2 linked regions of the Anolis sagrei genome follow. The protein of the gene in region 1 interacts with the protein of each later gene in a pairwise test. Links are inferred from orthologs where the notes say so. Each region holds a gene or a part of one and is shown on either strand. Other genes may lie near its edges.

What was found.
Region 2: the proteins of MYO5B (region 1) and RAB11B interact in binary tests that used the Homo sapiens proteins (3 or more experiments, as listed by UniProt). The link is inferred for Anolis sagrei from reciprocal best matches to the Homo sapiens genes MYO5B and RAB11B.

What each region holds. Positions count from the first base shown.
Region 1 is NC_090022.1:287,337,721-287,345,021, reverse strand, and holds the start of MYO5B (unconventional myosin-Vb), read right to left. Parts: upstream 3,023-7,301; 5' UTR 2,554-3,022; coding exon 2,527-2,553; intron 1-2,526. UniProt on the Homo sapiens protein: May be involved in vesicular trafficking via its association with the CART complex. The CART complex is necessary for efficient transferrin receptor recycling but not for EGFR degradation.
Region 2 is NC_090034.1:29,324,611-29,331,770, forward strand, and holds the start of RAB11B (ras-related protein Rab-11B), read right to left. Parts: upstream 3,010-7,160; 5' UTR 2,834-3,009; coding exon 2,794-2,833; intron 43-2,793; coding exon 1-42. UniProt on the Homo sapiens protein: The small GTPases Rab are key regulators of intracellular membrane trafficking, from the formation of transport vesicles to their fusion with membranes.

The DNA of each region.
Region 1 (7,301 bases):
GGCTAGTATATAAATAAAAATGTAAAGGGCATTTGGATCCTCCTCCTCTCCTAAATGGCCTGGTCTAGGAGATGCTGGGAACTGTAGTCCAGAAGAGAATGTGGATATGCTATTGTGTGTTTGTTTGCCAGGGGGAGTCATTTTGTACATGCACTGTAGCTTCTTTTTGCTTTTTTTGGCTTTTTTAGTCCCTTTTACTGTGTTTTCCTGTATTTTTATGAGTGATGGTCACTCATTGCCCTGATATGTGTATTGTGCCCAAATTTGGTGTCAATTTGTCCAGTGGTTTTTGAGTTATATTGATCCCATCAACCAATATTACCTTTTTATTTATATAGACTAGCCGTCCCCTGCCACGCATTGCTGTGGCCCAGTCTGGTGATCTGGAAAATAAAGTAATTCGAAAGTGTTGGTTTCTAATATATGTAATTTCTTTCTGCTTGTGGGTAAACAGTATTTCTTCCTGTTTCTTTGTCAGTGTTGATGTGGAGAGTATCTGGTTTGCCTACTCTGGAACATGCAACATAATTGTCTTTCTTTAGGGTCCCTTTCAAATCTATGATACTATATCTCCCTGTGTGTGAATCATATATATCTATCTATATCTATGGCTGGGTGGCTCTTTGTCAGGAGGGCTTTGATTACGTTTTCTTGCCCTGGTGAAGAGGGCTCTTTGATTGTAGGTGAACTATAAATCCCAGTAACTACAACTCCTAAATGTTAAAGTCTATTTCTCCCAAACTCCATCTGTGTTCATATTTGGGCATATGGAATATTCGTGCCAAGTTTGGTGCAGATCCATCATTGTTTGAGTCCACAGTGCTCTCTGAATGTAGGGGTGAACTACCACTCTCAAACTCAAGGTCAATGTCCACCAAACCCTGCTAGTGTTTTTGTTGGTCCTGGGAGTCCTGTGTGCCAAGTTTGGTTCAATTCCATCTTTGGTGGAGTTCAGAATGCTCTTTGATTTTAAGAAATACTGTTTAAGTAAACTATAAATCATCGCAACTATTCTGCGATAAATATTACTAATAATATTACAGGATAATGTTATAGCACAATGTAATATATAATATTAATATAGTGCTATGATAATAATATATTGTATTTACTTTTTACTTGTAAGCCACTCTGAGTCCCCTTCGGGGTGAGAAGGCCGTCATATAAATGTCGTAAATAAATAAATAAACTACAACTCCCAAATGACAAAATCAATTTTTGAGTGATGGTCACTCCTTGGGTTAGTAGGTGTCTTGTGGCCAAATTTGGCGGCAATTCGTCCAGTGGTTTTTGAGTTATGTTAATCCCACAAACATACATTACATTTTTATTTATATACTAGCCGTCCCCTGCCACGCGTTGCTGTGGCCCACTCTGGTGGTCATGGGGATTCTGTGTGGGAGGTTAGGCCCAATTCTATCATTGGTGGGGTTCAGAATACTCTGTGATTGTTGGTGAACTACAAATCCCAGCAACTACAACTCCCAAATCTCAAGATTCTATTTTCCCCAAACTCTGCCAGTGTTCACATTTGGGCATATTGAGTATTCGTGCCTAGTTTGGTCCAGATCCATCACTGTTTGAGTCCACAGTGTTCTCTGGATCTAGGTGAACTACAACTCCAAAACCAAAGGACACTGCCCACCAAACCCTTCCAGTATTTTCTGTTTGTAATGGGAGAACTGTGTGCCAAGTTTGGTTCAATTCCATCGTTGCTGGGGTTCAGAATGCTCTTTGATTGTAGGTGAACTATAATTCCCAGCAACTACAACTCCCAAATGACAAAATCAATTTTTTTTGAGTGAAGGACATACATTGGGTTGTTAGGTGTCTTGTGTCCAAATTTGGTGTGAATTCGCCCAGCGGTTTTTGAGTTCTGCTAATCCCACAAACAAACATTACATTTTTATTTATATAGATATGAAAATATCCCAAAATCCAAGACACTTCTGGCTCTAAACATTTCAGATAAGGGATCCTCACTCTGTATCCCCATTGAAAGGAATCCGGAGATCCTCACGAACACTGGGAGCACATCTACACTGCAGAATGAATGGAGTTTGGCACCTCTTTCCCTGTTATGGGATCCTGGAGTTCAGTCAGTGAAGCACCTGCACTCTTGAGCAGAGAAAGGCTGAATGTTATGGGGATCCTGGAGGTTGCAGTTTAGTTAGGGGGGCACTTGCACTCTTTGGCAGAGAAGACCTTGTAAAACTGCAGCTCCCAGGCTCCCACTGTCTCGAGGCATGGGAGTTCAAGTGGTGCCAAACTGCATTAACCCTACAGTGTGGATGCACCTTGTCTTGAAGTCCAAAGCAAAGCGTAAAAGTGAGGCGCAGAGAAAGAAAGTAGTGGAGAGTGGAGGGAACTCCATCTGCGGCGGTGCCGGGAAGGGGAGGGGGGGCATGGAAAGAAGGGCTCCCAGGCCCCCCAAATAGCCCTGGGAAACCCACAGAGGGGGGGAATGGGAAGGGGAAAGGCTGCCCTACACGTATCTATCCCCCAAACGCCTGGCCTTGGCCTTACCTTGGTGTAGAGCTCCGCCACCGACATGTCCTCCTGGCGGGCGGTGCGCAAGGCGAGCCCAGTCCTCGAAGCATCCAAAAAAGGCGCCCCAAAAAGAGGAGGAAAAGCCCTTCGGTACAATCCAAAGTCCGGCCCGGGAGAAGGAGGAGGAGGAGGAGGAGGAAGAGCCCAGGAAGTGCGGCGCTTGGGCAGAGGAGAGGAGAGGAAAAGAGAGAGGAGAGGAGAGAGCCGGGCGGTGCAAAGCCGGAGGGAAGCGCCCGACCTTTGCCCGTCTCCCGGGGAAAACTTACTGGACGAAAGGCAAAGGGAGGGAGAAGCGGAAGGGGGAGGGACGGGGCGGGGCTGCCTGGCCGCTCCCTCGCCAGGTAAAAGGGAAGGCAGGTAGGGAAGCAAGCGTGCGCAATGGGGCGCTCCCTCCCCGCCTGGTTTGCCGGGCTTTGCAGGTGCCTCGGCTCCTTTGGCGCACCGGCTGCCTTTGGCTTCAGGAAGGAAGGGAGGAAGGAAGCAAGGCTGGCTTCGCCCTCTGCTGGACGAGGAAACTTCCCTCCCTCTCTCCTTCCCTCCAAAGGGAACCCCGCAGCAAATTCCAAGTTTGGAGAAATTATATATACTTTTTGGGCTGTAGCCAATAGGACTGAACTGACCACGGAACAACAGACTGGTTCAAGATTGGGAAAGGCGTCTGGCAAGGCTGCATCCTCTCACCCAACCTTTTTAACTTGTATGCAGAACACATCATGCGATGTGTGGGGCTGGATGAATGCAAAGCTGGGGTGAAAATTGCTGGAAGAAACATTAACAATCTCAGATATGCAGATGACATCACTCTGATGGCCGAAAGCGAGGAGGAGCTGAGGAGCCTTCTAATCAAGGTGAAAGAAGAAAGCGCAAAAGCCGGGTTGCAGCTAAACATCAAAAAAAAAAAAACAAGATTATGGCAACAAGAATGATTGACAACTGGAAAATAGAGGGAGAAAATGTGGAGGCCGTGACAGACTTTGTATTTCTAGGTGCAAAGATGACTGCAGATGCAGACTGTGGCCAGGAAATCAGAAGACGCTTACTTCTTGGGAGGAGAGCAATGTCCAATCTCGATAAAATAGTGAAGAGTAGAGACATCAGACTGGCAACAAAGACCCGCCTAGTCAAAGCCATGGTATTCCCTGTAGTCACCTACGGATGTGAGAGCTGGACCTTAGGGAAGGCTGAGCGAAGGAAGATCGATGCTTTTGAGCTGTGGTGTTGGAGGAAAGTGCTGAGAGTGCCTTGGACTGCGAGAAGATCCAACCAGTCCATCCTCCAGGAAATAAAGCCCGACTGCTCACTGGAGGGAAGGATACTAGAGACAAAGTTGAAGTACTTTGGCCACATCATGAGGAGACAGCAAAGCCTAGAGAAGACAATTATGCTGGGGAAAGTGGAAGGGAAAAGGAAGAGGGGCCGACCAAGAGCAAGATGGATGGATGGCATCCTTGAAGTGACTGGACTGACCTTGAAGGAGCTGGGGGTGGTGACGGCCGACAGGGAGCTCTGCCGTGGGCTGGTCCATGAGGTCACAAAGAGTCGGAGACGACTGAACGAATGAACAGCCAATAGGATCCCTCCCTGGAGGAATTGCAAAGGAGGCAAGCAACACCTGGAGGCAGCAAAGAAATCCCTGTATGTGTCTCCAGAAATTGTCCTTTCAGAATGGCCCAAAATTTATTTATTTATTTATTTACTTTATTTGTATACCGCTCTTCTCAGCCCTTAGGCGACTCAGAGCGGTTTACAACAATTTAGGTATACACAATACAAAATCATTAAGCATTTAAAAGCAATAGCATCACAAATCATTAAGCATCAATATATCACTACATCAATATAACAAATCCATCAGGTCTCATCAATGAAATCAGAATCCAAACCCGTTATCCGATATTCCGTGTTCCGATAGTCAATCAATCACACTGCTTAGTCGAATGCCTGTTCAAACAGCCAGGTCTTTACTTTCCTCCGTAATGCCAGCAAGGAGGGGGTCGATCTAATATCTGCAGGAAGGGCGTTCCATAGCCGAGGGGCCACCACTGAGAAGGCCCTGTCTCTCATCCCCGCCAGGCATGCTTGTGAAGCCGGCGGGATCGAGAGCAGGGCCTCCCCAGACGATCTTAATGTCCTAACTGGTTCATAGGAGGAGACGCATTCAGACACGTAGGTCGGGCCAGAACCGTTTAGGGCTTTAAAGGCTAAAGCCAGCACTTTGAATTGTGCCCAGTAGCAAATTGGCAGCCAGTGGAGCTGGCGAAGCAGTGGAGTGGTGTGCTCCCTGAGTGCCGCTCCTGTTAGCATCCTGGCTGCTGATCGTTGGACCATTTGAAGCTTCCAAGCAGTCTTCAGAGGCAACCCCACGTAGAGAGCGTTGCAGTAGTCTAAACGGGATGTGACTAGAGCATGGACTACCGTGGCCAAGTCAGGCTTCCTAAGGTACAGGCGCAGCTGGCGCACTAGTTTTAACTGTGCGAATGCTCCCCTCGTCACCGCTGAAACCTGGGGTTCCAGGCTCAGCGATGAGTCCAAGATCACACCCAAGCTGCGAACCTGCGTCTTCAGGGGGAGTGGGTCGACTTAACCAGGGATCAGTGTTGCTACTTACCCAGGCAGTCCCCAAGTTACAAACAATAGAGGTTCTGAAGGTGCCTTCTTAAGTTGCATTTTACCAGCTGTTTGGATTTCAGCCGCTTGTGAGTTCTTACAGATAGATTACTCTGACCTTTAGAACGCAGGACTGAGATTAACCCCTTCTATCCCTTTGCAGCAGTCATCATCTTCTTTTACCCATCACCAACTGCTATGCATGACGCCAACTACCATCAACTACAGGACGTTACACCTAGGCACAAAACTGCCCCTGTTCATCATGATGCCTCTGAACTATCAGAGTTAAAATTTGGGGGGTGTATGCGCAGCGGAAGAGGTGCTAGATCAAACAGACACAGGACTCCAAAAATTCCAGGACTCTGCAGTTTTCCAGTTTTAAAATAACAAAGTTTGCTAAGTACATTTCAATACACGTCTACATCTAAGCGGGCAAAATCAGGAACTACAAAGCACAGCTTCAGTACAGTCTCGGAACATCTGCTTATCAGGCTCTCTGGCTGTAAGCTGGAAACTCCCTTTTTCTTCCCAGCAGAGAAACATGTTATCTAACTTCTGTCAAGGTCTCTTCTCTCTGTACCTCTCTGTCTCTTACAACAACAATTCCAACACATAATTGAACATAACAGAATCCATCTTGAATACATATTAACACCATTCTTAATCATATAGAAACACATTTAAAAACCATACATGCATACCTTCAGTAATCCTGACATTGAACAATATTTGGAAATCTGGCTAGTATTTGTGCTGGGCTAGTTTCCATCATCTCTTACTCAGTAGGCCCACTGACAACCCAGAATGTAGCAGGTTGGTATGGTAGCTCAACCTATGTTAGGAAAAGCCGCCTAAAATATAACAAAATGGATTAGACCAAAATTCCATCTAACCAAGCATCATGCTTCCAACATTGGTCACCAGGAGGTCTCCAACAAGCTTGCCTTTGAGTCATGCTTCTCACTTGAGAGGTACAGTGTCTTTAAATATAGAGGTTCATTATGCAATCATACTTAATAGCCATTAATAGACCTATCGGCCTATCTGTTTAACTTCTATGCTGAACATTTCAAACAAAAACATGGATTAGACTCTGAGGATGGAAGCATGAACATTGGTAGCACACCAACAGTCTAAAAAAAATTGATTAGAACATATTAAGGTATACTGAAAACGGGGTGAGTTTTGAAAGGATCAGTACCAAGGTTGGAATAGATATATGTGTTAAGGAAAAAAACTCATTCAGTTCTTGTGGGTTTTTTCGGGCTATATGGCCATGTTCTAGAGGCATTTCTCCTGACGTTTCGCCTGCATCTATGGCAAGCATCCTCAGAGGGTCTGGTTGCAATTAGTACAATGGGTTTATATATCTGTGGAATGGTTGGGGTGGGGCAGGGAGCTCTTCCCTGCTGCAGTTAGGTGTGAATGTTAGCTAATCACCTTCATTAGCATTTGAAGGCCTGCCTGAGTCTGGGAAAATCTGTTGCTGGGAGTTGTTAATCTGTGCCTGGTTTCTTCCTCATGCTGGTGATCACTGTATGCAGGTGCTAATTAAGGTCAGGAGGTTTGGACCACACCCGGTAAGAGTATAACTGGGTGTATTTTAGGATACATGTTGGCTCTCTATTTTGGGAGTTGGAGAAGCCATGCTGTGTTTTGTGATGGATACAAGGACTATGACCTTGATTATGATTGACCTGGATTGTGATGTTGTACTTGTGTGATTTTAAATAAATGTGTCAATAATTGTTTTTAACAAATTATTTTAATTATAACTCTTTTTTTGTAAGTTAGAGTGATGGCATTGAATGGCTGCCTGTTGTGAAGCTGCCCGGACTCCCCCCTCGAGAGTGAGGATAGGATACAAATATGCAAAATAAATAAATATGTAAGTTTGTTACTCTGTAGGATTCATTTTTGATGCAATGATACAAGTTTATATGTTTCCTAACTTCAACTGTGTGAAGTTAGTGTGTCTTTGTAGGACCAGACCAGTGGTCCTCAACCTTCCTAATATCATGGGCCTTTAATATAGTTCCTAAAATTGTGGTAGTCCCCAAACATAAAATTATTTTCATTGCTACTTCAGAATTGTAATTTTGCTGTTGTTATGAATTTTAATGTAAATATTTGATATGCAG
Region 2 (7,160 bases), on another chromosome or scaffold:
AGAGGTTGCTCTTTCCTACCCCGGAGTCTCCAATCAGCACCACTGCAGGGAGGAAGGAAATAAGGAAGGAGGGAGGGAAGCAGGGCACCTCTGCGGTCGGGACCCCTGGATCTCAAAGGAAGGCACCTTTCCACTGTAATGGTGTCTCATTCCCCTGGTTCCCAAGCCTTTTTGAAGCAAGTGTGAATGTTGCAACTGAACAGCATTGAGTAGCCATGAAGTCAATCAGTGAGGGAATCTGCATAGAGGTAGCCTGGTTGCTGTGCCTAGGAGTACCCTCTGATTGGGAAGTGTTAACTGGCACTTGGTTGTCTGCTGTCTAGAACTCTCCTGTTTCTGAGTGTTATTCCTTATTTACTGTCTTGATTCTGGTGTTTTCTTTAATACTGGTAACCAGATTTTGTTCATTTTCATGGGGTCAAAACACACCAGAATCAAGACAGTAAATAAAGAAACAAGGCATTCCAGATAGCAAACAACCAAGTGCCATTGAGCACCTCCCAAACAAAGGATGCCTCTAGGCAAGAACAGCCAGCCCCCCTCTATGCAAATACACCCATTGATTGACTTTACAGCTGCAAGGCTCCTCAAAGCTATTCAAGCTTGCTAATCGCATCATGCACACTTGCTTTACACAGACAAGGGTTCTTTTTCCCACCCTGGACATTATTCCACAGAGAAATATGCTCCACTTGCTTCACTTCCAACAGAATCTCTGAAGATGCCGGTAGTCACAGATGCAGGTGAAATGTCAGGAAAGGATGCATATAGCCTGAAAAACTCACAGCAGCCCAGTGATTCCAGCCCTGAAAGCCTTCGACAACACAAAATTATATCTATGCCCTACAAACCCAGCATCTTGTGTATCTAATAGAATGCTAAAGACACAATAAATTATAGAGACTATACATTAGGTTTGTAGTTATATTAATGCCCTACAAACCTGGCATATTGTATATCTAATAGAAAGCCAAAGACACCATTTATTAGAGAGACTATACACTGGGTTTGTAGTGAAACCAGTGCCCTATTAACCCAGCGTCTTGTGTATCTAAAAGAATGCCAAAGGCATCATATATTAAAGAAACTATGCATTGGGTTTGTAGTGATATCAATGCCTTACAAACCCAGCACACCGTATATCTAATAGAATGCCGAAGGCACTATATATTAGAGAGACTATACATTGGGTTTGTAGAGCATAGATATGGCTTTGGACTGAGGTTCGTAGGGCATTGATACGACTTTGCTCAGGCCTAAAAAGTCATGATATAATGCCTCAGACACCATATCTCATGATTTTAATAATAATAATAATAATAATAATAGGTTCAGGCATTTCCCTGCAAAGAAAGAACCATGCTTTACTCAGTGTTTGATTCACTGTTAAGTTTCATTCATTGGGTGTCCCTTGGTCTGTTATCTCTTAGCGTTCTTTATACATAACTTTGCACTGCACTCATAAAACACCAGCAGAGAGGCAGGATCCTGAAACACCACAATGGCTTTCATACACTTCCTCCAAGTCCCACAATAATAACAACAACTGCTTCTTGTCGTTGACATTTCACCTTTCAGAAACCCAGCAAACTTGATAGTTCTTCCATAGGAACGATGAAGCTTGGTCAGTTGCCACCGACAGCAGCTGTGCTGCTCTTGTATTCCCTAGTCCTATTCCATTGTTTGAGAAAGGTTAGGCCCCGAAGCAAACATGGCCTTTGATGCACTATTAAAAGAGAATGGGAAACCTGCAACTTGGGTGGTTCTACAAGAAGAAAACAACAGCAAAGGATCCAAGGAAAACATGTTGACCTAATGCCTTGGTTGCATGAGCCAATCAAAGAAAGAGGATGGCAGTTGGAGGACATAATAATAATAATAATAATAATAATAATAATAAATTATTACATTTGTGTGTGTATGTGTATATATATACAAATATATATTATAAATAACAACTATTATTATAAGCCAGATCTAGACTCCACCCATGCTAGAGCCAAGGGGAGGTCCCAGAACAAGCCCCACCCCATTCTACATTTTCTAAGCCCTTCTCTCACTCTGGGACCAAGGGGGGAGGTCCCAGAACAAACCCCACCCCATTCCCCCTTCCTAAGCCCCTTCTTCTTTAGAGGAAGGAAAAGGTCCCAGAACAAGCTCCGCCTCCTCCCACAGATCTAGGCTCCTCCCACTCTGGAGCCAAAGAGGAGGTGCCAGAACTAGCCCCGCCCCATTCACGGTTCCTAAGCCCCTCCCTCCCACTTTGGGCCAAGGGGAGGCCCCAAAACAAACCCCGCCCCGTTACCCCTCCCTAAGCCCCTCCCTCCCACTTTGGGCCCGAGGAGGAGGTCCCAGAACAAACCCCACCACCTCCCTCCCTCTCTCCCTCAGCTCTAGGCCCCGCCCACTCTCGAGCCAGGGGGAGGTCCCAGAAGAAGCCTCGCCTCCAGTGACCCTTCTTCAGCCCCTTCCTCCCTCTCGGAGGCCAAGGAAGAGGTCCTCAAGGCAAGCTCCGCCTCGCAACCCCCCTTAGATCGAGGTCCCTTCCACTGTGAAGCAAGAAAAAGTCCCCCCACAAGCCCGGCCGCCAAGGAAGGGGGCGGTCCCAGCCTTCCTAAGCCCCTCCCACCTGGCACCCCAGAAGCCCCGCCTCCTCCTTGCTATGAAATCCCTCGGCTCTCGTTCCCTCCCACTCTGGAGCCGAGGGGAGGTTTCCGCAAAGCCCCGCCCCTTGGCCCCTCCCCCCAAAGGCAGGGGGCGGGCCCAGCCCAAGCGCAGACCCTCGCCTCCTACCTTTGAAGAGGTAGTCGTACTCGTCGTCGCGGGTCCCCATGGCAGCGCCTGCTCTGCTCTGCTCTGCTCTTCCTCGCTGGCTGCGCTTCCAATCGGCGTTCGCGGAGAGCGAGGCGGCAAGGCTGGCCCGACGAGGCCTGGCCGAAGCGGGCCGATCCCTCTGACAGGCTCCGAAGTAGGCGGAGGGCGGGGCCCGCTGCCAGTAAGAGGGAGCATGCGCACTCAGGGCCAGCGCAAAGATTGAAAGGCAGCGCTCTCGGCCTATCAAGGGCCGCGCCACGACGGCATCCAATGAGAGGGTGGAGAAGGCGGGAAAACGAAAGAGGACAGCCAATGAGAAGGAAGCACAATGTTCACCGTTGGGGGGGTTGTGATTCTTTTGGACAAATGACAGGAGCTCCCGACCTATCAGGACCCCTGGGGTGGGCGCCAACCAATGGAAGTGCGAAGGGGGCGTGGAAACTAAAGGGGAGGGCCAATGAGAAGAGAGCGCAACATTAGCCGTTGGGGGTTTTTTTAAGTGTGCTTCTTTTGGATGATTGGCAGGCGCTCTGGGCTTATCAGGACTCCTGGAGTGGGCGCGAAAAGGACACGGGCCAATGAGAAGGCGGAAGGGGCGGGGAAACGGACTGCGAGCGTTAATGGCGGTTGGGAGAAGAAAAGGCGGGAAAATGGAGGAGGGAGGAGTCTAGGGCCTCCACGGTTGGACTAGATTGCCCTCGGAAGTCCCTTTCCCATTCAAACCCCATAGGGCGGGACAAGATGGCCCTTGGAGGCCCCTTTTTCTATTAAAACTGTCAAAACCCTTCCAAATCATTGGGAAGAATGGAGGCTCTCTTTTCATTTCCGCTAGATGGAGCTCTGGCCTTTTTTTTATATAGAAAGGGATTATATTCCAAGTCTCTGGAACTCAATGGAAGACTTTGCAGATCATATATAGAAATGTGTATGTTATTAGAAACTCCTTATCTCAGAGGAAATATGCCTAGGAGCAGAATTATTATTATTTTATTTGAAACACAACAAGATGAGTCCACAGCAAACAAGATCACTCTGCTGGCTGTTGTATTGGATCACATGTCAGACATTTCCCAAGTGTCTAGGACTGTGTGATGTAGAATCATAGAATTGGAAGAGACCTCGTGGGCCATCCAGTCCAACCCTCTGCCAAGAAGCAGGAATATTGTATTGAAAGCACCCCTGATAGATGGCCATCCAGCCTCTGTTTAAAAGCAAATAATGTATCAGCAAATAATGCATGCAGATCCCAGTGAGAGCCAGCTTGCCTGCGCTTTTCTCACGCTGGCCTTTTTATATATATATATAAATTTTTATTATGCTTTTAAAAGGACATAAAACATTGTATAGAAAAACACTGTTGCAAAGGGAAGAAAACCAGAGAAAGAGAGGAGAGGGGAAAGGGTAGAGAGAGGGGATAAGAGATAGACTCTGGCCTTTTGCAGCTGGTAATCTTCTCGGTGCCGATTGTGTTTAAGTGCAGGACAAGGTCTTTAGGCAATGCACCCAGTGTGCCAATCACCAGTGGGACCACCTTGACTGGCTTGTGCCACAGTCTTTGCAGTTTGATCTTTAAATCCTCATATCGTGTCGGCTTTTCCAGTTGTTTCTCTTCAATCCTGCTGTCGCCTGAGATTGCAACATTGGCAATCCACTTTGTTTTTTAACACGATCGTGAGGTCAGGATCGTGTGCTCCAAAACTCTTGTCAGTATGAATTCGGAAGTCCCAGAGTAGTTTGACGTGTTCATTTTCTGTAACTTTTTCAGGCTTGTGGTCCCACCAGTTCTTTGTCGCAGGCAGATGGTATTTGTGGCACAAGTTCCAATTAATCATCTGAGCAACAGTGTTATGCCTCTGCTTGTAGTCTGTCTGCGCGATCTTGCAGCAGCTGAGGATACGATCTATTGTTTCATCTGCTTCCTTGCAGAGTCTACATTATTATTTCCATATTATTATTATTATTATTATTATTATTATTATTAGGTCTCCCTTTTCATTGCCCATTTGCAATCCCAAGCTCTTCACATTATATTATTGCAATTATGGTTGGATGCTCAAGAGGAAATAAGCTTAGGAACATAGCAATAACAACAATTGCAGAGCTTGGAATCCCTTTTTATTGCAGATGATCAAGAAAACCAAAGAAGCTTAAACACATTATTATTATTAGTAGTAGTAGTAGTAGTAGTAGTGGTAGTATTGTCCTTGGCATGTTTCCTCTGAATTATATGGAGACAATAATAATGGAATCGGTTATTACTATCATCATCATCATCATCATCATCATCCTACACGTTTCCTCTGAGTTGTATGGTCTATAATAATAATAATAATAATAATAATAATAATGAAATAATAATTTTATTGTGTTCCTAGGCATGTTTCCTCTTAATTATATGGAGTCAATAATAATAATAATAATAATAATAATAATAATGGAATTTATTATCATTACTCTCATAATCGTGGAGCCCCCGGTGGCGCAGTGGGTTAAAGCACTGAGCTGCTGAGCTTGTTGATCGAAAGGTCGCAGGTTCGATTCCGGGGAGCGGCGTGAGCTTCCGCTGTCAGCCCTAGCTTCTGCCAACCTAGCAGTTCGAAAACATGCAAATGTGAGTAGATTAATAGGTACCGCTCTGGCGGGAAGGTAACGGCGCTCCATGCAGTCATGCCGGCTACATGACCTTGGAGGTGTCTACGGACAACGCTGGCTCTTCGGCTTAGAAATGGAGATGAGCACCACACCCCAGAGTCAGACATGATTGGACTTAATGTCAGGGTACTACCTTTACCTTTACCTTTACCTTACTCTCATAATCATCCCATGCATGTTTCCTCTGAGTTGTATGGTCATAATAATAATAATAATAATAATATGGAAATAATTATTATTTTAGTATTATGTTCTTAGGCATGTTTCCTCTAAATTATATGGTGTATTATTATTATTATTATTATTACTACTACTACTACTACTACTATGCACCTAGGCACTTTTTCTCTGAATTGTATGGAATCCCTAATAATAATGATGATGGAATGTATCATCATCATCATATGCATGGTTCCTCTGAAAAAAAAAAATAATAATAATAATAATAATAATAATAATAATGCCTCTAGAACATGGCCATATGGAGGCTATAATAATAATAATGGAATCTATCATCATCATCATCATCCTAGGCATGTTTCCTCTGAGTTATATGGACTCTCCAATAATAATAGCACAACAGGTTAACCACCAGCTGCAATAAATCTTGCCAATCAAAAGGTTGGCAGTTCAAAGCCCGGGTCTGGGGTGAGTGCCCGACCTTCAGCCCAGCTCACTGCCCACCTAGCATATCAAAAACAACTGAGTAGATAAATAGGTACTGCTAACGCGGAGAGGTATTTCAATGGCACCATAAGGAATACCAGAAAAAATGCCAGCGATTGACCAAAAGAAGCAAGTCTGTGACCAGGGCTCTTCGGCATGAAGGATGGAGTGACATCACCGCCCCCCTCCCCCGCAGCCGGAATCAAGCACAACCCCCAAGATGCCAAAGATGGGGAAAAGCCTAGATACCTCTATCTGTGCACTGTGTCTGTGCTGTCAGAGTATAGCGGCATTGAATTTTTGTTGTATATGTGTTCTGTGATCTGCCCTGAGTCCCCTTCGGGGTGAGAAGGGCGGAATATAAATACTGTAAATAAATAAATAATGTTATATGGCATCTCGGTTGCTTAGGAAAGCAAAAGTTCAAAGGGGCAAGGAATCTCCATCCAAAAGATATAGCAGACATTGCCTGACATTGAATCACAACAAAAGCAAGGCTTAATTTATTAATTTTTAATCAATTTACAAAAGAAATCAAGCCACAGACGTCAACAGAAGCAAAGGGAGCCAGAAAGGTCACTGTGCTCCACTTTGCTCCAAGGCAAACCTTTCATAAGTTACAACAACCACAATATTCACCAATACTCCCATTTTTCCAAGACCTTTTAAAAATTATTTTTTTAAAAGAATAAAAACAACTCTTTAAAAACCAGCATGACAATTATGTACAAAAACAAAACAAATAAGTAATAAGTCAATATGACCGAAAAATACACACAGAGACGAGGAGAAAGGAAACCAAATCAAGTTTCTCAACACAGAAATGGAAGATCATGGCTCCGTTCTTCTTTCCTCCCTCCTTCCTCCGAAGGCCCTTAACCTGGAATGGAGGCCTATGGGACTTGAATTGTCCTTCCTTCCTCCAAAGAAATCAATTACAGGTTTTGTAAACTGCCTTGGGTTCCTTCAGAGGAAAGAGGGAGGAGAGAAGTAGAGCTCCAGAGAGAGGCCTGAATTTTGTAGTATTT